3 linked regions of the Alligator mississippiensis genome follow. The protein of the gene in region 1 interacts with the protein of each later gene in a pairwise test. Links are inferred from orthologs where the notes say so. Each region holds a gene or a part of one and is shown in the gene's direction. Other genes may lie near its edges.

The links. The genes of interacting proteins can lie anywhere in the genome.
Region 2: the proteins of CEP63 (region 1) and integrator complex subunit 6-like interact in a two-hybrid assay, tested with the Homo sapiens proteins (2 studies listed by BioGRID and IntAct). The link is inferred for Alligator mississippiensis from reciprocal best matches to the Homo sapiens genes CEP63 and INTS6L.
Region 3: the proteins of CEP63 (region 1) and CCNI interact in a two-hybrid assay, tested with the Homo sapiens proteins (2 studies listed by BioGRID and IntAct). The link is inferred for Alligator mississippiensis from reciprocal best matches to the Homo sapiens genes CEP63 and CCNI.

Annotation. Positions count from the first base shown.
Region 1 is NC_081830.1:30,840,226-30,847,920, forward strand, and holds the start of CEP63 (centrosomal protein of 63 kDa), read left to right. Parts: upstream 1-4,676; 5' UTR 4,677-4,760; intron 4,761-4,825; exon of another isoform or gene 4,826-4,919; intron 4,920-6,271; 5' UTR 6,272-6,341; intron 6,342-6,355; exon of another isoform or gene 6,356-7,695. Other genes in the region: ANAPC13 (anaphase-promoting complex subunit 13), read right to left, coding at 2,658-2,756. UniProt on the Homo sapiens protein: Required for normal spindle assembly.
Region 2 is NC_081831.1:80,204,824-80,212,000, reverse strand, and holds the start of integrator complex subunit 6-like, read left to right. Parts: upstream 1-4,163; 5' UTR 4,164-4,231; coding exon 4,232-4,342; intron 4,343-4,424; coding exon 4,425-4,502; intron 4,503-7,177.
Region 3 is NC_081825.1:142,276,809-142,284,787, reverse strand, and holds the start of CCNI (cyclin-I), read left to right. Parts: upstream 1-4,965; 5' UTR 4,966-5,337; intron 5,338-7,979.

The DNA of each region.
Region 1 (7,695 bases):
ACTGTACAATTTCTAGTGTGCATATGTTATTCTGAATGAAACCGCCAGAGCAGGATTCTCCCTTCTGAGTCATGGGCTCCCTAGCACGAGACAAGACAAAAGGACCTTCTCAAAATCTAAAATTTGTTTCAATTAGGACCCAATCCCAAGCGTACTGGAGTCACTGGAAGCCTTCATGGTTTACTGGAGTTTGGATCAAGCATTAAGGGAAGCAGTAGTTAGCACCATATTTAGGACCCTTCAGTCAGTCCCTTCTTGATGTTGTTGAGTGAAAAAGTCTTCTGAAGAAGCTGTGCTGGATTTTCAACCTGTTCATAGACGATCATATTTCAGGTGACAGGAGGTCCATCCCCAGGCTGCATACTTATGCTATGAACTAAAAATCACTGCTAGTTGGGTAAGTATCAGCATGAAAATAGATCTTGAGCTCACCAGAACAGAGTACCTCTGGAAGGCCTTTACTCAGTTCATTTAAGGCTGTATGAAATCCAAAAATGAATGGGGTTTATGTGGGGAGGGTGTGTGTTTGAAGAGTAACAGGATATGCAGGTATCCAATGGAAAGGGGCTGCAAAGATCCTGGTGTACTTCAGAGTTCATGATAGATCAAAAATAGTTGCTAACAGACCTAGGAGAAATCAGTTCCTCCCCTCCACTCCCCTTGCTGGCAGAATGGTAAGGGAATAGAGAAAGGGCAAGTCCTTGGGACTCCCTCACTCCAGCTGAGAGATGAGGAAAGGGGAAGTGTAGTGGCCCTTAGCACTGGATGCAGTTGGGGATAAGGGGAGCCACTTTTTCAACTAGCTCTTGACTGGTGATACTACATGCCTCTGGGGAAAGGGAAAGATGTCAAAGATAAGATCTATGGGCCAGATCCAGCCCATGGAGCCACATCATCTGGCTCCCATCCCCATGGTGGATCCAGCTCCTGCTCCAACCAGTTCAGAACAGGTACCACTTGTGGCACAGTTCCAGAATGCCAGAGCAAGGGCTGGAACAGCCATGCTGGAAGCAGCAGTGCTCCACTGGATCCCCTGCATGCCAGATCTGGCACTTGCTCTGGCTGGTCAAGGATCTGTGCTGCATGGAACAAGCACCATGGACCGCACAAAGCAGATGCTGGATCCAACATGTGGTGGGGAGGGTCCATCATGTGGTGGGGAGGGTCCAAGACAGTTCACAGGCTGACCCCTGGCAGTTTACCCAGTCCATGAACCAGTCCCATGCCATTCACCTGGCCCACAGGGACAGATAAGTTGGCACCTGTGTCCTGAAGGGAAGCTGCCTTGTCGTGTAGGTACCTTTATGAGCAAAGAGACTACCAATACAGATGTGTTCAAGTGCACAATTTAAGGGGCACCTCTGGCATGGATTGTATTTCAATACTGGGATCACATAACAGATGCTTCTATGCGTCATAACCCAATGATTCTTAGTGCCTCGGCACATTGGAATTTTCCCGCCACATGGAGCTTTCTTCGCGCGGTGGATTTCTCAGCTGCAGAGAGAAATCCCTGGTGCAAAAGAGTTCCTGCCACATGCATGCAAATTAGTGTCCCACTATTGGTCAATTCTAAATTATTCCTACGTGGCGGCTAGCAATTGGCTCGCTAGCCGTACAAAAGGTTAGAGCAGTTTCCGCCCAAGTTGGAGGACTCCACAACCATCTCGTGGGGAACTCTGAGCGTGCTGTGGAGCCTAGCAAACTCTGCGTGTGCCTTGGAGGAGGACATAGAGGCCTGATCAGCTCTTAGCCACTCCCCGTCATAGTGAAAATTTGACGTATCCCCCGTGTAAAGCGCTCGTGGAGTCATACATCGACGACTCATCTCGGTTCGGTGTGGTTCGGAAGAGATCTCACTTGTGTTTGTTTGTGTGCAACTGCAACTCAAGCAAGTTTCCTCCCTGCACTGTGACCATCGGCAGTGTAAGTAAAGCTTTCTTTGTAAAACCAATACGCTTCCGTGCCTAACTCTACTCCGTCGTGGAAAAACCCCATCTGACGGTCCAGGCTACTGGCCATAGCCTTAGACCGACCCTTGGTCCCGACACCATGATCACACCATTTTAGTAATAATTACAGTGATTGTTTACATGGAAAAGTACTCTTAGGAAAACACTGAATGCATTTTAGCAGCTGGGAATGAAAAGTAGCCAACAGTACTTAAATGCTAACTCTCCACACACTGCCAACACAAGGCTGCTTATCCGAGACCCACAGACCCCAGTCTGGCAAACTGCTTCAAACACAACCAGCACTATAATAAAATGTAGTTTGATAAAAGAGCATCACTTGTGCTTGCCCCTAACCCCAAACAGAGGCAGGGGATGGGAAGAAGCATTGCACCCTCCAAAGAGGCTGACAACTGACTAAGAGCAAGAGGAGAGGTTTCCTCCTTCCAAGGAGTCAAACAGCTGTGGGATGAAAGCATTTGTACCCCCACCTGTGGAGGGGGAAGAGAAGGGAGGAAGTGGGGGAGTGAATCCCATGTTCTTGCCACACACAAAACAAAGGGGAAGCTGAACAGAGCGGTATAAGAGTATTTCTGGTACAAAGTGGTGGTGTTGCAAGGATCATTTGCTTAGAAGGGGTTAAGAAATTTGGAAATGCAAGGACTCAAGATCAGGCTGTTAATTCAGTGCACAGCGGTCACCTACCAGGGGTATTGCCACATCCTCATATGGTAACTTGTCTTCCCTCCAGGCATCGTCAATCAGATCCAGGATTCTCCCGTCCCTCTGCACCTCACTGTCCATCAGTGCGCAGCCAGCCCGCAATCACGCAACACCTGCGAAACAAAAAGGACGTCATTCGCAATGGCCCAAACCCTCTAGAGTGGTACCTTGGGGGTTGTTTTAATTCCTGTTGAGAAAAGCCACTCAGGAGATCTTGGCTCTTGCATTCACATATGCATCATATGGTTTGGGGTGGTTTTGTTTTTTTTTTGAAATTCCATGTCTCAGGCCAAATCAACTCCAAATTCTATTGACTGAGCAGAGCTCAACTGTTCAGGTCCATGTGGTGCTACCACTGGCAAGTATCCTACCTCCCAAACTCTTCAGCCTGGGGCTTAGGATACTCCCAAACCCATGGCAGGCATCCTACATGCAAGCCCCAAGGCCTTGGGGTTTACATGCCCCCTAGTCTTGCTTGCCCCTAGCCAAAAAGCTGAAAGAACAAGCTAGGGGCATGCGCAGTGTCAGTGGCGCCTTTTTGTCAGCGGTGCTTGGGGGCGGTCGTCACTCGCCACCCTGCCGCTGCCTGCGAGCAGTCAGTGATCCCCGCTGTCTACTGCTGATGCTGCCGGTGGCATCTGTGGGTGATTGCCGACCTCTGGTCGGCGCTTGCCCCCCCCCCCCCCCCCCGCCAGTGCTGGCAGCATCTGCAGGAGCTCCCCACTCACCACTGACATACTCCCACCACCGCCGTGCCCCCCCAAGAGCAATCCTCAGTCATCAGCATAAACTGTGTAGGTGAGATCCTCCCATTAGGAGGCATCTGTAGAGTCTTGCAATGCAAGGGGCAGACCTTCACTCTCTAACTCAAGAGTTGGCCAAAATACAGCCCACTGGCCAGATCCAACCAACCAGTTGACTGGATCTAGCCAGCGACTGCCCCTGTGGAGCTCTGCATGGGGCCAAGCCCAGCCCAGGCTGCGCTCCTGACTCTGTCTGCAGGCCCCAGCCCGTGTGCACAGCTTCTGGCAGAGTGGCTCCTGGTGCAGCTGCAGCCCCATGGGTGCTGCTCAGCTCACCTCCAGCAGCAGCTTTTGCTCCTGCTCCTGCCCGTGGCGCTGCTTCCAGCCAGGGGAAATGGCAGCCGAGCGGGTGGAGCAGGTAAAAGGTGGCTGGGAGCTACAAGAGCCCCATGTGCTGGGGTAGGACCCACCGGCTGAAGCTTCCCCCACCTGTAGCAGCACACCAGGGGCAAGAGGAGCTGCCTCTAGAGGTGAGGGGAGCTCAGTTGAGCAGTGGGGCCCAGCAGGAAGCAGATGCCCATCCTTCTCCCGAATACAGCTCCCCGCCTATGGCCCCATCCCACAGTGGGGGCATGTCTACATGAGACGCTTAATGCACATTAGCTTAATACCACCACGCAGTAGTATGTCACGGCACAAACCATGCTAATACCCCACTGCCAGTAACTGTAGATACTGTGTGTTCAGTTAGTCCAAAATTAAGTAATAAATTCACAGGATCTGAGGCACATTAATGAACGTGGATGTGCCCACAGAGTTTGGGTGGGTTGCTGCGTGGACCCAGCACACAACAGCTCTTCACACCTCCCTATGTGGCCCCCAGGCCCAAATAATTACATAGTCTGGCTCTAACTACCCCGGGCCTCTCAGGGACAAAAAGACAGGGGTCCTTCTGCAGTGCGCTGAGGGGCTCGAGGAGTCCCTGCACAGGGTCAGGACCAGGGAGAATGAGTAGAGTGTTTCTCCTCTCCCAGGCTCGCCTCAAGCAGACCATCACCCCCCAGCAGAGCCGTCCAGGTTCTGAGCACATGCCCCCACCTCAGAGCCCAGGGAGGGCACTGCGCATGCTCCTATCAGCGCACATGCGCATTATCGACCTACCTTCGCGCCGGGGGGGGGGGTCCTCCGCGCCTCAGGATTAGGGCAGAGTGCCTGCTTCTCAAGATCAGGGCGGGGACCCGAGCCGCAGTCTCACAGCCGGCAGTGCGCATGCTCCGGCTCCCACACATGCGCACTACGCAGCCAGCCTTGCACTTTTGGGGCCTATGTCCCTTCCCTACCGGTGAGAGAAGCGCTCCATTCCTTCCCCCCAGCGCCAGCTCCGCACGACCCCTCCCGCGCGCTCACCCCTTCGCTCCTCCGCAGGCCTTCACGTGACTGGCCGCTCTGAGCCGCGCGAACTATAGAGAGGAAGCCGGGCCCTCCAGCAGCACCGCCGCGGGTAACGGCTTGCCGGACCGGGACGCCCCTTCCCCTTGCATTGCGCATGCGCAAGCCTGGCCCCGCCTCCTTCGCGCTGGGTGACCCAAGGCGAGTCAGGCGGCGTAGTGACGGTGCCTCAGTTTCCCTGTGCCGCTCCGGGCCCAGAGGCCCTTCGCTTCGGCGGGCGGGAAGGCGGCCCCTGCCCCGCGCTGTCTGCGACCCTGGGGCTGGCCCGGCCCGGCCCGGCCCGGCCCAGGCCAGCGCGTCCGGGTGCCGAGCCCCACTGGGCCCCTGGTTTGCCCCCCTTAGGCCGGCGGGGCCCCTGGCCCGTGCTGCACCCGGCGGCGGAGGGGGGCGCTGCCCCGGGGAGGCGGCATCCAGGGGCATCTCCAAACCCCACCCCGTGTCGGGTCCGAGGCGCAGGGGATGCCGCTCCTGCCCGCCTGCCTTTTCAGCAGCTGCTCGGGGGCTCGTTTGCCCCCTTCAGCACCACTCACCACCTCACCCTTAGCCTCCCTCACGCAGGGAGGCAGCAGAGAAGGGGGGCAGTTGATTGCTGGGGACAAATAATAGGAAAACGGACAGGAGTGAAGGTCAAAGGGCCGGAACAAGAGTGCCAAAGGCGGGACGCCGAGTAGAGCTCACTGGACAGTCCCTGCTGGCCCCCCAACTAGTCCAAGGAGCCAGTGGGCACTGCCCGGTGATACTCAGCTCGGAGACGGGTGAAGACGGGCCTGCAGTCCCGGGGACCCTCCTGGCCACAGCCTCCTTTCTGGTCAAGCATCACTGACAAAGCACAGGCTGCGTTGTCTCCGCGGTTCCTGCTATCAGGCAGCGATGGGAGATAGGGTAGCATGTGCTGGGACCCACGGGGAGCTCTGCGGGCTGAATGACACAGGTCTGCAGGGCATGTCTTGGCTGTTGGCTGGGCACTGAGCACCACAGAAGTTGTGGGCTCGAAAATACAAGTGTCTTTAAACTTACATATTAAATACTCTGTAAATAAGGGATTTTTTATTGATACTTGTAACTCCTAATGTTAAAGCCCTTTGGAAAGTATCGGTGGTACTGGATCCTTCAAGGATTAGAAAGAAATGGCCAGAGACTTCCAGTATAATGTATGGTGATAAACCAACAGGTGCCACCCTTGGCAGCAAGGCATTTTCTGGCCATCCTGGTTGAGGGGACTGGTCAGGAGTTGCTTCTGCAGCGATAGACTTGCTCTGTCCTTGGAGTCCACCCTGAAAGTTCCGATGTGTTGTAACCGCGTGGTTTCACGACTTGCTGGGAAAGGGTTGCGGGTTCCCTTCTGTCTTTATTGACCCCATTGCTGAACTGGCTTGCTGCCTCTGTGCTCTTTTTACCTTACAGTTAGATGTCCCGAAACAAGAACAGCTGGTGCCATTGAGCCATCTGGATCTTTTCTCCAATTTCAGTCTTGGTAACTCTTTTGTTCCTTGTCCATCCCAATCAGGAGGCATCACAGCTTAGTGTTCAGAACAGTGTGACCCTATCTTGCACCTTTTTCACATAGGCCCTGGATCAGGAAGATGCCCGCGTATGTGTTTAAGCTTGATTTTGCTGGGACTATTTCTGCTTAAAATTAGACTCCTGTTCAAGCACCCTGTTCAGTGTCATGACCTTAACTCTGACTGCTTTAGTTGCTGCTGTTTAGTGTATATAAAACATTCATTCTTAGCTTCATACCATCTGCAAGCTTGAAATGGCACTCTCTCATGGTTCAGAGGAGATCAGCTAGTAAAATCAAATCAAATGGTAAAAATGAAAAGAAAACATGCAATGTAATACGGAATGATGTAATCTAAAAGTCCCAGTGTTGTGTTACTTTCCAGAGCTGGAAACACCTGTGCCAAGACAAAATGAAAACTTTAGGTATCAGTGAACTTTGTGAAGCGTGAATCCCAAAGCAGTCTCTGCAGGGAGGGTGGGGAGCAATTCTTGACATAGTTAAATAAACACAGTATGTCTTATTGTAGGCTGTTTAACTGTGACGGTAGGGCTTCTGGCCTTTCCTGTTTAATTTAATTGTTTTCAAGAAATGTCTACAGAGCCATTTATTTTAAAAATTAGGAACTTGGGAATTTTGCAAGCTCTTGTGATTGGACTTGAGGAAAACAATATTATGTTACACAATAGCAGCCTTTATGGCTACCTATTTTAATATTAAATTCAGGGCCTGACTTGGATACTGTGACTGCAGTATCTATTGCTCACTGTGGAGCTGTGCTTCAGGATCTGAGATGTCATTTAAAGGAAAACAGTATTGAACCATTTTGGTTGGAAGTCTGATTGAGGTACAGCATGTCAGGGCATGAGGGAATTTGTATTTTCTGAGAGATAATTGAATGAACTGGGATTAGGCTGGTAAAGGAAAAAGCTGTGAGAGGTGAGGGCATGGGGTGGAGTTCTGCCAGGTGGCTGCTTTGGTCGTGTATGTGAAAAAAGCTGGAGGGTCTGTGTAAGGAGCAGGGCTGAGCCTGCAACCCAACTGCAGGTAGTCAGCAGTTACGAGTGCAGGAAGGGTGACAGCAGCTGCAGCTAATGAGGGATTTGAGGTGGAGCCACAAAAAGGCTTCAAATATCCAGGCACAGATTGGAAAAAAGCAAAAAGAGGGGAGATGTGGTGCTTGGGTAGAAGCAGTGAGTCTGTGTTAACTCCTCCCAGGGTCTGAAAAAGACCACAGCCTTTTGGGTTTTGTTTGTTCATTTGTTTGCTGTTTGTACACTTGCTTCTTTTATTGGGTTTCCTTTACTGTGGGGACAAGGTTGTTCTG
Region 2 (7,177 bases), on another chromosome or scaffold:
GAGGCCTAATGAATATTTTTACAGTGATTTCACATATCTGTTAATTTGGGGGGCGCTATCAGGAGCCAAGGGACAAGTGGTCAGTATGGCTGGAATAAACTCAAATGGGGACCCACAGAAAAGGGTCTGATGGATTTAATTTTTCATCTGGTAGCAAGTGGGTTGAAGTTGGATATTTCTTCCTGATTGGCACATCCAGCACTTTTCAGATTCTGCTGACCAGGGCTCCTGGTTTTCTCTGATTTAAAAAAAAATCCCCAATTTTTGTTTAAAAAAAAAGTAACCCCAAATACACATTTTTCCATGATTAAAATGAAACACCGTTATATATAGATCTATATATTAGTGGTGTTTCATTTAAATCATGGAAAAAATTGGATTTGAGGTTACTTTTTCTTAACCAAAAATTGGGAATTTTTTTCAATCGGAGAAAACCAGGAGCCCTGCTGATGACTAAAGGAGGTCATCTATGACCCCTGATCAAAGCCTAAAGGAGCAGGGCTACTGCCTTTCAGATTTGCTAGATGCCTGGGTCAGCCGGCTGGTGAGAACAAAGTTAACAGGTGAAGCAATACAAAAAGAAGTAAGGATGGTTTTTAGCACTAAACCCCTATTAGAAGAGATGGGTTAGGTGTTAAGCTATGTCAGGACAAGGAAAAGAAAAATAAGGGCTTATCGACACGATTCACTTGACCAGAACAAAGTGCACTAATACTTCCACAATAAAGCGACTTTTATTCTGGAGCAGCCCTTCCACATAGGGAACTAGTCTGAAATAGATATTGCAGACTAGTTTATTCTGAAATAGCTGCTCTGGTCAATTTACCCCTGGAGACAAGCTTTTTATGTCTCATAGTTAAATTGCTCTTCTCTGGAAAATTGAAAAAAAAAGAGTTAACTTATTTTATTGATTTATGGAGTGTCTGTCACCATAGCAGCCAGGTATTTAGAAATGCAAACACAAATTGGTGGAGCTGCATACAATGGATCCCAGCAAAGAGCCACTCGCTGCTTTTTCCACTTGTGCACATTAGCAACCATTATTTTCGGGAGTAAAAAAAAGTCACATAAATCTAAACTAAATAAATAAGTCTCCTGCATTGTGCCCTGAAAATTGCTAGTCTTCAGCTCTGGTGAAGTTCAGCTGGAGCAAATTCCAGAAACCATAGCCCTCAGCAAGGAGCTCTGCTCCTGGAAAAGTCAGCCTCTGAAACTGAAAGCAAGAGCCTTCTTCCATCTTGACCTTTAACTACTATTGTGAGGGTAGAGGAGAGGAGGGCTTAGCTGCATATTGGTTCCTGGCCATTTGGAGTCACAGAAATCTTGCTAATAGTATGAATTTTCAGGGTCTTTTAGCACCTTGTGGTCTATCTCACAGAGCAGTATAGGCAGTCTTAAACCTTCGCATTGCTTGTTTTGAACTGGTCCAGGTCACCTGTGATTAAAAGTTACCGTATGATCTGATGGCTATGCATATGAGAAATGAACATGCGGTCACAGTCAAGTACTCTGTGCAGACATGCCTACATCAGAGTTAGCATCTGCTACAAAGGCAAGGACCGTATGGAAACGAAGTTGTTTTTCCAGGTCAAGGCTGAAATACATTAGCAGGGGAGTCTGGGGAAGCTGGCCCTACTGCTGCCTTTGCTGTACCTTATCTGTAGATAAGTAGGCATTGAAATTCCAGCTCTATTGATCTAGCTTCACCCATGTACACTATATTTTCTAAAAATACTTCACCTTTTCAGTATTTTCTTCCAGAAATTGCTAAAAGCTTGGAGCCCAGATCCTGACTGTACTTTGAAACACACACCTACCTATCCATGACTTGGAGGTAGCAGAGCCAAAGGTTTGAATATCCTTGTGTATCTTTGTTTTTATTGCGGGAGTTTTTAAGTGTTTTTTTCTCTCTGATCCATTACTGTTAAATAATTCGCTGAAATTGTGTAAAATACAGATGCATATAAGCTAAGCTGGTTATTAAAAAAGCCTTTCTAAAACCTTTTATGTAGAGCAGTAACATTTACCCGTTGTAAATCCAGAATTTAGATTTTGTGTGGGATGAGATGAAGGGGTAATTACAATACCTAACAGGCCAATTTCTATTTTCTGAAATGGACTCAAGGGCTTTCTCTTTCTCCTCTTTTTCTTTTAAAGACCTTTTTTCCCCCCTCAGAACCACTGTTAATGTGTACCAGCACACTCAGTGGTGGTACACTGGAGATGATTTTGACTGATTTGGAGTAAAAGTATTTTCATGAACAATGTTAGTCCTTTCCTTTTTAATTAAAATTGCTTTGGAGACAATTTTAACATCCCACTGCAATGTTGTGAAACTAAACAGCATTGTTCAAGTGCATCAGAAAAATAAAGTGAAATGGACTAGAAACCATGAAACTGACTGCTCTTTCAATCGTTCGACTTGAATGAAATACAGAAAAGTAGGGGAATATACACTGTGAAAAAGAACATTTGAGTTTAAAAAGTGCTTCTGTTCAATGGAAAGTAACTAGCAACTGAATTATTTAAAAAAATGAGATTTATGTTTGAAATGTCCCTTTAGTATTTTCAGGACTTAATCCTGCAAACTATTTTGCACTATAGTGTAGTGCTAAATAGCTCCCTTGAACACTCACACTAGCTACTAGTGTGCTTAGTTGTAGATATTGGCAGCACCAGGGCCTAATACCAGTGCTAGTGACTTCAAATCCAGAGGGCCCCATGTGTGGGCATGGGTTCACTTGAAGGGACCTCACTGCACAGCTGAAGCCTTAGTATCCTTTTTTCCCCCTCTCTGATGATCCAGAGCATCTTCATCCCTTCTTCCCCCTCACTTGAGTTGGTATGGGAGTACTGTCATCAATTATTTATTGCACCTCCTTTTGACATTCTTAGTTGCCATGTGCACACACAATTGCAGCAGAAAATATGCAATAAACATCTAGCAGCTAACTTTTGGCAGCCTTGATGAACAGCATTACAAGTGGAAAACGCTTGTAAGGGATTTGGCACCCTCAAATTAGGGCCTTTAAAGGGCAAAACTGTGGAGGCCTAGAAATCAGGGACTCATTTCAACTGTTGTCACCTTCCTGGGGCAGCCCACAGCTCGTGGGGCCCCGGCTCAGCTTTTGGGCACTACTCTAGGTGCACGAGTGTCTGCAAAGGACACGACTGGACCAGTGCAGCAGGGCCCAGGGTGGCTGGCAGCAATCTGCAGCAAGGGGCTGGGCGCAGAGCGTGCGGCAGCCCAGACCGCCTGATGGATGCGCAAGAAGCTGTCGATAGGCGGCGGAAATGCAGGGCATGCACCTTATAGACCAGTGGTTTGCAACCTTTTTTAGACTCAGGGCCCCTTGTTAGGCTCAAGGACCCCTCAGAAACTGCCAGCTCTTAGTTTGAATGGGGAAAAACAAAAATGGCAATTTTTCTATTGCATTCTATGGGCACTGTGGATTCCGATCAGAAATCTCTACTACCTCCCAGCACAAAACTGCACAATCCCCCCCAAACAGAGCCCAAGGTCCCCCCAGTGTCCTGGCAGGATACCTCACCAGATACCTACAGAGCACGAGGGTGCCTTTGGGTGGGAACCAGGCGGATGAACTGTGACCTCCGCAGGTCCCTGCCAGCCCAGCTGCTCTAGGAAGAACTGTGGTTGTCTATGATTCACCGAGTGTCAGGCTGGCAGGGACCTTGGAAGATGATGGGGTCCAGCCCCCTGCACCAAGCAGGAAAGTGACCCCTGCAAGGCGACCAGGGCTGGGCTGCAAAGCCTGATGAAAACCCACCTCCCACCCTGCCCTGCAAAGCCGTATGAACCCCACGCCCCAAAAACCCCCACCTTATGAACCCCCCCCCTCCTGCAAAGCCCTATGGAAAGCCACAACCTAGGCCTGCAAAGCCCTACGGAAGCCCCCCCAGCCCTACAAAGGGGCCCCTCCGTGGAAAGCTGCTTCCCAGCAACAGGCCGCAACCACGGAGCGGAGACGAGGTCCGCGGAGCCCCCCAGGCAGCAGCCCCCGCCAGGGGCACGTGGCTCCCCCCGCCGCCCCTCCCCCTCCCGCTAGCCCCGCCCCTCGGGATATGCAAATGCCGGCGGCGGGCAGCCAATGGCGCCGGGGCGGGTCACGTGGGCGGGCGCGCTGGGCGAGGGCCGCGGCGCTCAGTCGGGCCCGGGCGGCGGCGCCGAGCGGAGCAGCGGGGCGGGCGGGCAGGCAGGGCACGGCTGGCCATGCCGATCCTCCTCTTCCTCATAGACACCTCGGCCTCCATGAACCAGCGCGCCTCGCTGGGCACCAGCTACCTGGACGTGGCCAAGGGCGCCGTGGAGATCTTCATGAAGGTGAGCACCCCCCCGCTCGCGCGCCCCCCCCCACCCGGCCGGCCCGGCCCCACGCTAACGCCGCCGCCCTCTCCCCTCACAGCTGCGCGCCCGGGACCCGGCCAGCCGCGGCGACCGCTACATGCTGGTGACCTTCGACGAGCCGCCCTACGGCATCAAGGTACGGCCGGAACATGGCGGACATTTTGCTTTTGTATGTGGGAGGTGAGGGCGCCGCCGACATGGAGGCGGGAGGCGCCGCCCCCGCCCCGGGGAGGGGCCCGCACGGCCGGACCGGCCCCTCGCCCCGCCTCCCCGCGCCCGCACCGGCAGTTAACTGTGGGGCTGGGTTGAGCCCCCCCTTCCTCTTCCTCCCCCCCCCGTGGGGCTGGGCTGAGCCCCTCCCCTTCCCTCCCCCCCCGTGGGGCTGGGCTGGGCTGAGCCCCTCCCCTTCCTTCCCCCCCCCCCGTGGGGCTGGGCTGAGCCCCTCCCCTTCCCTCCCCCCCCCCCGTGGGGCTGGGCTGGGGTGAGCCCCTCCCCTTCCTTCCCCCCCCCCGTGGGGCTGGGCTGAACCCCCCCCTGGGGCCCCTCCCCTCTGCCTCCCCCTTCCCCCCCTCCCCCCCTGGGGCTGGGCTGAGCCCCCCCCCCTCCCCCCCTGGGGCTGGGCTGAGCCCCCCCCCTTCCTCCCCCCACCCCGTGGGGCTGGGCTGGGCTGAGCCCCTCCCTTTCCTTCCCCCCCATGGGGCTGGGCTGAGACCCCCCATGGGGCAGAGCTGGGCTGGGCCCCTCCCCTCTCCCCCCCTGTGGGGCTGGGCTGAGCCCCTCCTCCCCCCCTGTGGGGCTGGGCTGAGCCCCCCCCCCCCGTGGGGCTGGGCTGAGCCCCCCCCCCCCCCGTGGGGCTGGGCTGGGCCCCTCCTCTCTGCCCCCCCCGTGGGGCTGGGCTGAGCCCCCCCCCCCCCGTGGGGCTGGGCTGAGCCCCCCCCCCCCGTGGGGCTGGGCTGGGCTGGGCCCCTCCTCTCTGCCCCCCCTGTGGGGCTGAGCCCCCCCCGTGGGGCTGGGCTGAGCCCCTCCCTCCCCCCCGTGGGGCGGGGCTGGGCCCCTCCCCTCTGCCCCCCCCCCCCCCCCGTGGGGCTGAGCCCCCCCCCCCCGTGGGGCTGGGCTGAGCCCCTCCCCCCCTCCCCCCCCCCCCGTGGGGCTGGGCTGAGCCCCTCCCCCCCTCCCCCCCCCCCCCGTGGGGCTGGGCTGAGCCCCTCCCCCCCCTCCCCCTCCCCCCCCCCCCCCCCCGTGGGGCTGGGCTGAGCCCCTCCCCCCCCCCCCCGTGGGGCTGGGCTGAGCCCCTCCCCCTCCCCCCCCCCCCCCCCGTGGGGCTGGGCTGAGCCCCTCCCCCTCCCCCTCCCCCCCCCCCCCGTGGGGCTGGGCTGAGCCCCTCCCCCCTCCCCCCCCTGTGGGGCTGGGCTGAGCCCCTCCCCCCTCCCCCCCCTGTGGGGCTGGGCTGAGCCCCTCCCCCCTCCCCCCCCTGTGGGGCTGGGCTGAGCCCCTCCCCCCCCTGTGGGGCTGGGCTGAGCCCCTCCCCCCCGTGGGGTGGGGCTGAGCCCCCCCTTTTCTCTTCCCCCATGGGGCCAGGTGGCTGTCATGGCCTTTGGTGGCACAGGGCTGCAGGGCATGTGCATGTCTCTCCCTGTGCCTGTTTCCTGTTCTAAGGCAGCAGGATAACGTCATGCCTCTGCTGTGGCTGCTGCACTGCCCAGAAGGGGGGGGGGGGTGAAACACCTTAGCGCTGATTTTTTTTTCCCTGCTTCTTGGCCCTGAACTTCCTAGCTTCTGAAATTCCCAAACGAGTGTGGTTGTGAACATCCTGCAGGCCCACAGCTGAGCTTCTTGCCACTGCAGGGAGTGTGAGCCCACAGGGGTCCCCTGAACAGCCCTGGATGGAGATACTCCATTGCCTTTCTTTTCTAGTTTGCCCCTTCGCTTCTTGTCACGGCCAGTCAGGAGCTGTGGTTATCTTGCCATGTTTGGCCTTGGGCCAGTGTAAAGTGGATGTGTCCACGTGGCAAACCCCACAACGGGTTGCAGTTCTGACAGCAGGTAAGGACAGGTCATCTCTTCCCTAGATCATAGGTAAAGCACCTGAATTATCTGGGGACGGCTTCATACCTTTCACCAAAATGAATTGTACAGTTGAAAAGGGCAGCAGACTTGCACTCTGAAATGCCAAAAACACTTTACGTAAGCCAGAATTTATTTTGTATTAACTACTCCGACCACTTCCTTCCACCTCCTCCAAAGGGGGTCAGGTCACCTTGTGTTTCTGTGCTCAGTTTGAAATTCCATATTGGGCTCTAGGGTTACATTAATTCTTTTCAGGTCAAGAAATATTACTGGGTCTCCAGTCTGTCATCAGAGGGTTTTCTGCATGGTAGTGTGAACATTTCCCTTCTCTTCTGCAGTCAGGAACCGACTACAGTAATCTTACTCCATTTTATGACAGCCCAAACTATGGACTTACTGCCTTTTGCTGGTTTATTCTCCCTCATGCATAAAGATGAGGGTTCCTGTGTAGGTTGCTTTTTTTCTTTTTTACTTGAGAGAAACCCTTCCCTTGACACCCAGTTGGACCTAACATGATAATGAAAATGCTTGTGAATGTGATGTCAGTGGATTTGCTTGTATATGTGCAGTAAGAATATTACTGGCTATTGCCATATGTTATGGCAAGTTGCACTACAGAATATCACCTGCAGTGGAAATATTGTAATGCTTGGTGCATGTTACACATTCTAAAACATGACAATTAAAATGTGAGGGACTTAGTAAGCCTTAGGTTTTGTAAAGGGTCATATAGTAAGCCTTAGG
Region 3 (7,979 bases), on another chromosome or scaffold:
ATTTTGGTATTTTTTATCTATTTGTGTGCCATGGCATTACTCTTGTAGCTTATAGTTTATACTCTTCACCTTTTAACTAAATGTGTTTTAGTTTTAGAAGTAAGTTATACACTGTAACAATGTTAACAAGGGCAGGAATCAAACCAGTGCTTCCCTGTATCAGGTGGACCCCTGAAAGAGCCAGTGTATCAGTGACTGAATGCGTAACACAGTAGCAGGCTTCAGTAATAAGCAGCGATTAACACCTGCGGAAACTGCAGATCAACCAACGAAGAAATCAATAGGAGACAATTTAGCAACCGGGAATTCTCTGAACTTCACTGTTCAAGGGCTAGAAGCCCTGGTCTGAGTTAATCAATGCCGGGGACCAACTTTTGGGGCTGAATATCTCTAGATCGACCACTCCCAGAGCCCTATTCATGACAGCGGTAAATTAATCAAAATTAATCAGCAGACTCCCAAACCTGCACGTACATGTGGATGACTCCTGGGGCTGACAGGTGCCATCCAGTAGCCACCAAGGACGAAGTCCCACAAGGGTCAATGACCCCTGGATTGGGCAAACCTGAAAACTGGGGAGTCACCAAAGTCTGCCAAGGACATAAAAAGCAGTGAAAAGTGACCCTCAGAGGCACCCTCTTGATCTCCAACTTGACCAGCACCCAACCTGTCCAGCCAGAAGGACCAGCCGGCAACCCCCTTCTGGAGGATAACACCATGCTGGAAGAATCCTCGACTGGCCATCGACGGCAGACTCCAGCGCTTGTGGGACAGGTATACCCAACTCTTAGAGCTTGCTACGGTGTGTGTGCATGTGTATGAGGGGACCAGCCCCAAGGTTTATAATTTGATTTCATTACAGTGTTTCAATCCACCTAATAAACCAGAATTTTAAGGATCCTGCATTGGACATTTGTAGCCAACACTATCAACACCCTGTTGCTGTCTCTGCCCTTCCTCATGTCTAGTGCCTGTACCAGCTCCTGCCCTTCCCTTTCCCTGTCCATCCCACCTTCCCTCCCTTCTTTGGACCTGCCTATTCCACCCCATAGCTCCTAATTGTCTGTTCTTTATGTCTTTGCATCTGAATAAGGATTTTTCTTTGTTTTCCTTTATGGTCCCAGGGAACCAGCAGCAGGAGCACTTAGAGCACTTAAGACAGCTTCCCTAGCCTCAGTTCCTATGGTCTGTGTCCAGGTAGGTTTGGTAGCCATGATGAACAAGAGCAGGGAGGGTCCTACTCAGTCCCTGTAGCTCCCATCTGCAGCATGCTCCATGCAGGTGGAATCTGTGGTGAATATTGCTGCTAAACACTGACTGGTCTCTACTGAGCATCTGTATGCAGTTTTATTGAATGCTTATAACCTGGCTGAATATTGGTAAATTTTCACAGGCTTGGCTAATGGCACGAAGGGGTGATATGATAGAATGAAAATAAAGAGAAGGGGATTGCAGATGAGAGAGATCAAAGTAAAATGGGATGACCACCATACCAGGGATGTTTCAGTGAGCGAAATGTGACCCTTTCTGTTCCCACCCCTCTACCTGTTCTTCACTCCACCCTGTGTAAAGAAAATTGAACACAAGAAACCATCTCCATGAGACTTTCATACTAATTTGGATATTAATCATGAGAGGTCCATATCTGAGAGAGAACACCTGAAAGGTTCTCTCACTAGCGAGTGTCCTTTGAGTGAGACCACAAAATGCAGGTCTCTGATGAGGAGGAAGTGAAGGAGGAAGATAGCAAATAGATCAGGGAACCAAGGAACTCCTGTTTGCCACTTGTATGTCAGTGGAAGTACGGAATTTGAGTCTTTGCCCCTACATAGGTGTTAGAAGGATAGCAGACCATGACAGGCTAACTTATTCCTAACTTAACATTCCTGCTGTAGGTGTGCAAATGTGGTGACAAGGTACCTACCTCATATACAGCTTGCATTATTTTAAATGGCACGTCATAAAATGCTTACAACTGTAGAAGAGTTAGTCAAAATATTCCTTAATCCTGGAACTAACCATTCCATTAGTGCACAGCTATATGTACCAACAGTGTCATTTCTTCTGGGGGAAATCTTTGGGTGACTATAGGCAATTTCTGTTCTGTATCAGACAAGCCTTTTCTTAATGCCTTACCTTAAACTGCCTAAGCTATGTTGGTAAACACATCAAGACAAATTCACTCCCTGGTATAACTCCAGTGACCTGAATGGAATTTGGGCATTGGCTATCTTGGGAGATGAATGTAATGCTGAGCAAGGTGTGCATTTGCGCGTGCATATCGAAACGGCCCAAGGTCCGCCTGAATCCACTGGCTCACTGGGCTACTGAGGCTAAAGCATGCCTACTTTTGTAGCCAGTCGTACATGAAGCAGTTGCCTTTAACTCCATCTTGAATGACCAGCTGCCCGTTTACAGCTGGAAGGCCTGTTGCCTGAGCATAAAGCAAATTTCAAACTTACCCAGCAGAAGCTGTAGCAAGACACCTTAACCTCTGCCATGGCACCCCTGCATGAATGTGCACTGGGGGAAAGAGATGAACTAATACAAACAAATCCTGAGTTCCCCCTCTACTGTTCCTCTTACTGCAGTGAGTCTTGCTGTAGGAAGTGTGGCAGATTTCTCCTTTTTCCTCTAAGGGCATAAACACCTGAAAACAAAACAAAAAAGCACGATTTAAAAACTAGTAGGAGGGGGACTAGGTTTAGGAAGAAGGTAATGGTGAGGCACCAGTTGCACATTCCCCAACATTTCCTAGGCAGCGAGCAAGATCAGACTGCCTGAAACTGGGACGGTTCTGTCTTGGGAGCCCTGTCCTGCAGTCCCCCACCATTTCCACCTCCTTCCTTATGTTCCTTCCATCGCTGCTGCCTCCTCCTCCTCATCCTCCCCTTCCCTCCAGCTCCTCTCTCTCTCTCTCTCTCTCTGTTGTTTTCTTTCTTTGCCTCCTCCAGCTGACAGCATGCGCAGTGAGGCAGGAGGAGGGGGAAGGGCAAAGGGGGAGGGATGAATAAGTCGTAGCACAGTTTCTGCAGACGCCTAGGTCTGATCCTTCCGCAAAACAGCAAGAGGAAAACCAAGTCCCTATCCCACAACCTACAGCATAGGTCCTGCACAGAAGACTGGAAGAAAAAAATAGAACTCCTGTCATCCTGAATCACGTTGTTCTACACCACGGATCCCATATGCTGCTGCAGCTGTGGGATCCTATGTGCAAATCAGCCTTGCAAAATTTTGCTACCCACTCTGCTTTATCAAGTCATTTGTTTTGCTGAGAAGTGAATGTACTTTGCTAAGTAAAACTGCCAGCACCATGATGGTCAAGGTGGGCTGGCCCATTTCAATCCAGTGCCTGCCAAATATTTTACATGACCATAGAGATGTCACTACTGTCTGCTTCCTCACAACAAAATAATAATAGTAATAATAATAACTGCAATAACAAAATAACAATAACAGCAGCAAAACCAACAAAATAATAGCAACAATGATGATGATACTAACAGCAGCAGTAACAACAGCAATAACAATACAATAATAATACCATAACAGCAATAACAGTAATAATAATAGCAGCAATAACATAATAATAAGAACAACAATAACCTGATGATGATGATACTACTACTACTATTCCTAAGTGATAATCATCATCACTGTGGTAGTTCCTAGGAGCCACTGGGCTAGGTGCTAGGCTTGGCTCCCCAAAGTAGTAGCATGTGCATACAATTTGCCCCCCTGTATAACATAACCATACATGTGCACACTGTGGTACACAAGTGAGGTGCAGTTCTATGGCCACAGAAGACTCGTGACAGGCCAGGGACATGTGCAGTACATACATATATCTGTCTATGTATACATGCATGTGTATACACGTGTGCACACATAAAGACCCAGCACCCACAGCCTGGGCTGCAGCACTGACACCCTGCGGCCTGCTCTCAGAAGCCACCAGTCACTTGGGGGCACCCAGGCCAAGGGCACTTCATTTCCGCACACCTGCCACTGCAGTGTCTGGCTGGGGACACCCTCCCACTCACTAACTAATGCAGGACCCCACACATAGGCAGGCAAGGTTCTTTGGGTAGATGTGATATCTTTTATTAGACTGACTAAATACTTGGAAAAAAGTTATTTTTTTTTACAACCACACGTTCCTCCTGAAAGCTGCGGACAGGCCAGGGCCACAAGCCCTGTGGTGGCAGGTAACAGCACAAGGAGCAATGGCCTTAAGTTGCAGCAAGGGAAGTTTAGGTTGGATATTAAGAAACACTCCCTGACTAGGAGGGCAGCAAAGCCCTGGAACAGGCTACCGGGGTGGTGTTGGGGACACAAAGGGATGATGTAGTTGGGGCTTGTCCTGGTTTAAGCAGGGGTTGGACTAGATCAGCATTTCTCAACATGTAGGTCATGACCCAAGGGTCACAAATGCTATTTAAAAATGGGGCAAGGGGGTAGGTTGTCACTGTGTTGATCTGAGGATATAGGCAGACAAGGTTCTTTGGGGAAATCTGGTATTTTTTAATCAAACCAACTCAAACAGTTGAATAAAAGATTTTCCCCCCCCCAACTAATTACTCGAATAAAGAAAGGATCAACAAACTTGAAAAATGGATTCTCCTTTCAAGGAGAAAACCGTGTGGGACACCGCGGCTTTCCCCGTGCGGGCTCACAGAGCTCCAGCCTGCGAGGGGCTGCTTGGGCTCCCCCTGCCCAGCACCGGGGGCCCGCGGCTCAGGACTGGGTGGGGGCTGCCCATCAATGTTTACAAACATTGGTCCAGAAAAAGGCTGAGCACCGCTGCGGCCGGCGAGGTGCCCGACCCCAGCCGGTACGTTTCTGAGCGGGCGGCAGCAGCGCAGCAGGGGCGGGCGGGAGGGAGCTTTGTCACCGCCTCCCGGGCGGCCCCTCGGCGCAGGGGGAGGAGGCGGTGGCGGGCGCTGCCGGCCCTTCTTTCCCTCCCCTGCTCCCCCCAGGAAGGGCTCGCTGCGACCGCCTCTCTCTTGTTTTTGTTTCCCATCCCCCCTCCCCTCCCCCTTTTTTTTTTCTTTTTTAATCCCCTCTCCCCCCAAGCCCAGAGGCTCCTTTCTGCCCCGGGGGCAGCTGCAAGCAGGCAGGCTCCCCCTTGCAAGCCAGCTCCCTCCCCAGCACCAGCCATGGAGACATGAAGCCCGCGGGCACCAGCCTCCTCCTCCTCCTCCTCTAACATGGAACAAGCAGGAAACTAAGAACAAGCAGCCAAGCCTCGGCTCCCCCGGAGCCCCCTGGCATGGGGGTCTGATGGGCCGGATGCTGGCCACCTCCGGCTGGGACGCGCACAGCTCTGCAGGGGAGGTGAGCCCCTTCTCCGCCCGGGGGGCGCCCCCGCCGCCGGGCTCGCACCTGGCCCCGCCTGGGCCGCAGGGCGGCTGGCCCGGGCCATCGCCTCCGGGCCCGGCAGGCGGCCGGGGCGGCTCTGCCCATTGTCTGCCTCCCCACTGTTTACGTGCAATGCATGGACAGGCCCGGAAGGCAAGGGAGGTTTGCACCGGATGGGGGGGTTATGTATGTACTTTGAGCATGCATGCGTGTGCATATACACCCGTGCATATGCGTGCTCAAATATATTTACACGTACTTGCTCAAACTGTATGTGTATGTATGTATGTGTGTATACACACACATACATGCTGAAGGTATATATCCATGCTCAAATATATATACACACATGCTCAAAGGGGGTGTGTGTGTGTGTGTGTGTGTGTACACACACGCTCAAATATATGTGCACACATGCTCAATACATATATGCACCCAAACATACATGCTCAAAACACAAAACAAAACATAAATACATATATATGGATGTGTGTGTACATATACACACTTTGAGCATGTGTGTGTATACATAACTGAGCGTGTGTGTGTGTGTGTAAACATGACTTTATGAGCTTGTGTGTGTAAATTGCATATTTGTATGTATATGTATATACAGTATATATGTGTGTGTATGTATGTATGTATGTGTGCATGTCTTTCAGGATGATTGAGAGATATATATATATCTCAATCATCCTGAAAGACTCCATGTACCCTTCTGCAGTGCATAGCATTGTTTGTAGATAGAAAACAACACTGTGGGTATGGGTGGTACGTGTCTATGTATTTGGACTGTATTGGCATATTGCATATATGTAGATGTGCTTTGTAGTAATCATGCACGCTTCTTGGATTTGATTGCATGTAAAGTAGGACAGGGGGGTGAATGGGGTGCATTTTTAGTTTGTTAGCAGCTCTTTCAGGCTCTCTCGTTGTGAGTAGTATTTCTAAACGGCACCTTAGCCCAGTCCTGCTGGTACTGATATGCCCCTGGGGTACACTACACTGATCGGGAGCCTCAATGCTTTGGAGAATCTGAGGACACTCGGTGTCAAGCAGAGTTGGACCTTTTATTACTAGTGGTCCCTGAAAAGATTGCTGCATGGCAGCACTTCTGCAGCTGCAAGGTGGCCTATAGAAATCGGAGGGGTTCCAAGTGTGTTTATAGGGCTGCTGGATTAAAGACATTGCAGCATGTAGGTTTGAAGTATTGTTGTCCAGGTGGCATTCCTCTATATTTGAATATTCTTTTCACATTTTGTAATGTTACTGCCAGTGTGGTGGATCCAGTTTCTTTTGTTAGTTTAGCTTTTGTTTATGTCCAGTTGTTCATCTGCTGCTGAGGTTGTTATCAATTACTCTGCTGTCAAGAGTGTTTTAAAAATATGTAGCTGTGCTCTTAATGTTATACTTCAGACTTCTCTGATCTCCCTGCTGAGCCGCTACAGGAGAGGGGCCTTGGCAGTGGATATGGATTGTTGGGTTTTTGCTTTTTTCTTGTTTTGCTAACCCATTTGCAGAGGTAGGATAAACCCCCCATGGAGGTTTCTTTGAAAGAAGACTGAATGTTGTTTTACATAAAACTATCCCTTCAGGGATAATCCAAACAGATAAGGTTACCTTAGGTTATTTCGTGCTACTGATACAAAGTAGCCTTGGAAACATTCACAGTAATATTGGCCATGCTGGATTTATAAAACCTCTGTCCCCTCATTTTTTCCATAATGCTGGTAAACTTCCTTTCATTGCTTTTTAGCATAAGAATGTTGGCGGGCAGAATTTTGCAAGCCTGATTGAAAAGGTGAAATACGAATTTTCATTTATACCTAGGAGAACTTTTACAATCTTTGTTCTCTCCTATGCCTGAAGAAGGGTACCTGTGCCTGAAAGCTTGCAAATAAAGCCTTTTTTTTTTTTTTTTTTGCAAATATCCAGTTGTTCTAATAAAAGATCCCACCTCCGCCATGAGTTCTGATTTAAAGAGCTGCTTTTCAACCATTGTAATCGGTATTCTGTTGTATGGACCAAAAAGGGCCTTTTCCATGGCTCAGTATGACAGCCTGCTGCATGGGACAATCCCTTTTATAGGCATTTTCTATGCTTTCAGTTTATTTTAACCCATAAAATATTTCAAATATATAAAATCTCTTGTGTTCCCTAGATTTTGAAGTTTTCGCTTCTCAAGCTATTTCATGTTTTCATTGATGTGTCTGTAGTTTAGCCTTTTTACACTCTTTACATTAGTTGTTTATAATTTTTCCAAGTGTTGGAATATTCCCAGGGGCACCAGCTTCTTCAGTGTGCAGCTGAGTAGAAGGCTAGCTCTGAGAAAGCAGCAATAGTATGTTATTCCTGTCTTGAGGGATTTACTTTGGATCCCTGCTAACAAGTAGATTTGCCTTTAAAATCATTTGGATGATTTATAAAGTAGTGCACAGTCCTGTATCCTGTTCTGAGCTCTAGTGTATCTGCATAAACCATGGTTTAAAATAGGGGTGCACTGATAGATTTTTGGGGATGATACCAATAGCCGATTTTTAAGGAGGCATATTGGCTGATAGCAATCCAATTTCTGATACAACTGCATCCAGCTGGTAAGTCTGTTGTGGTGGACAGGA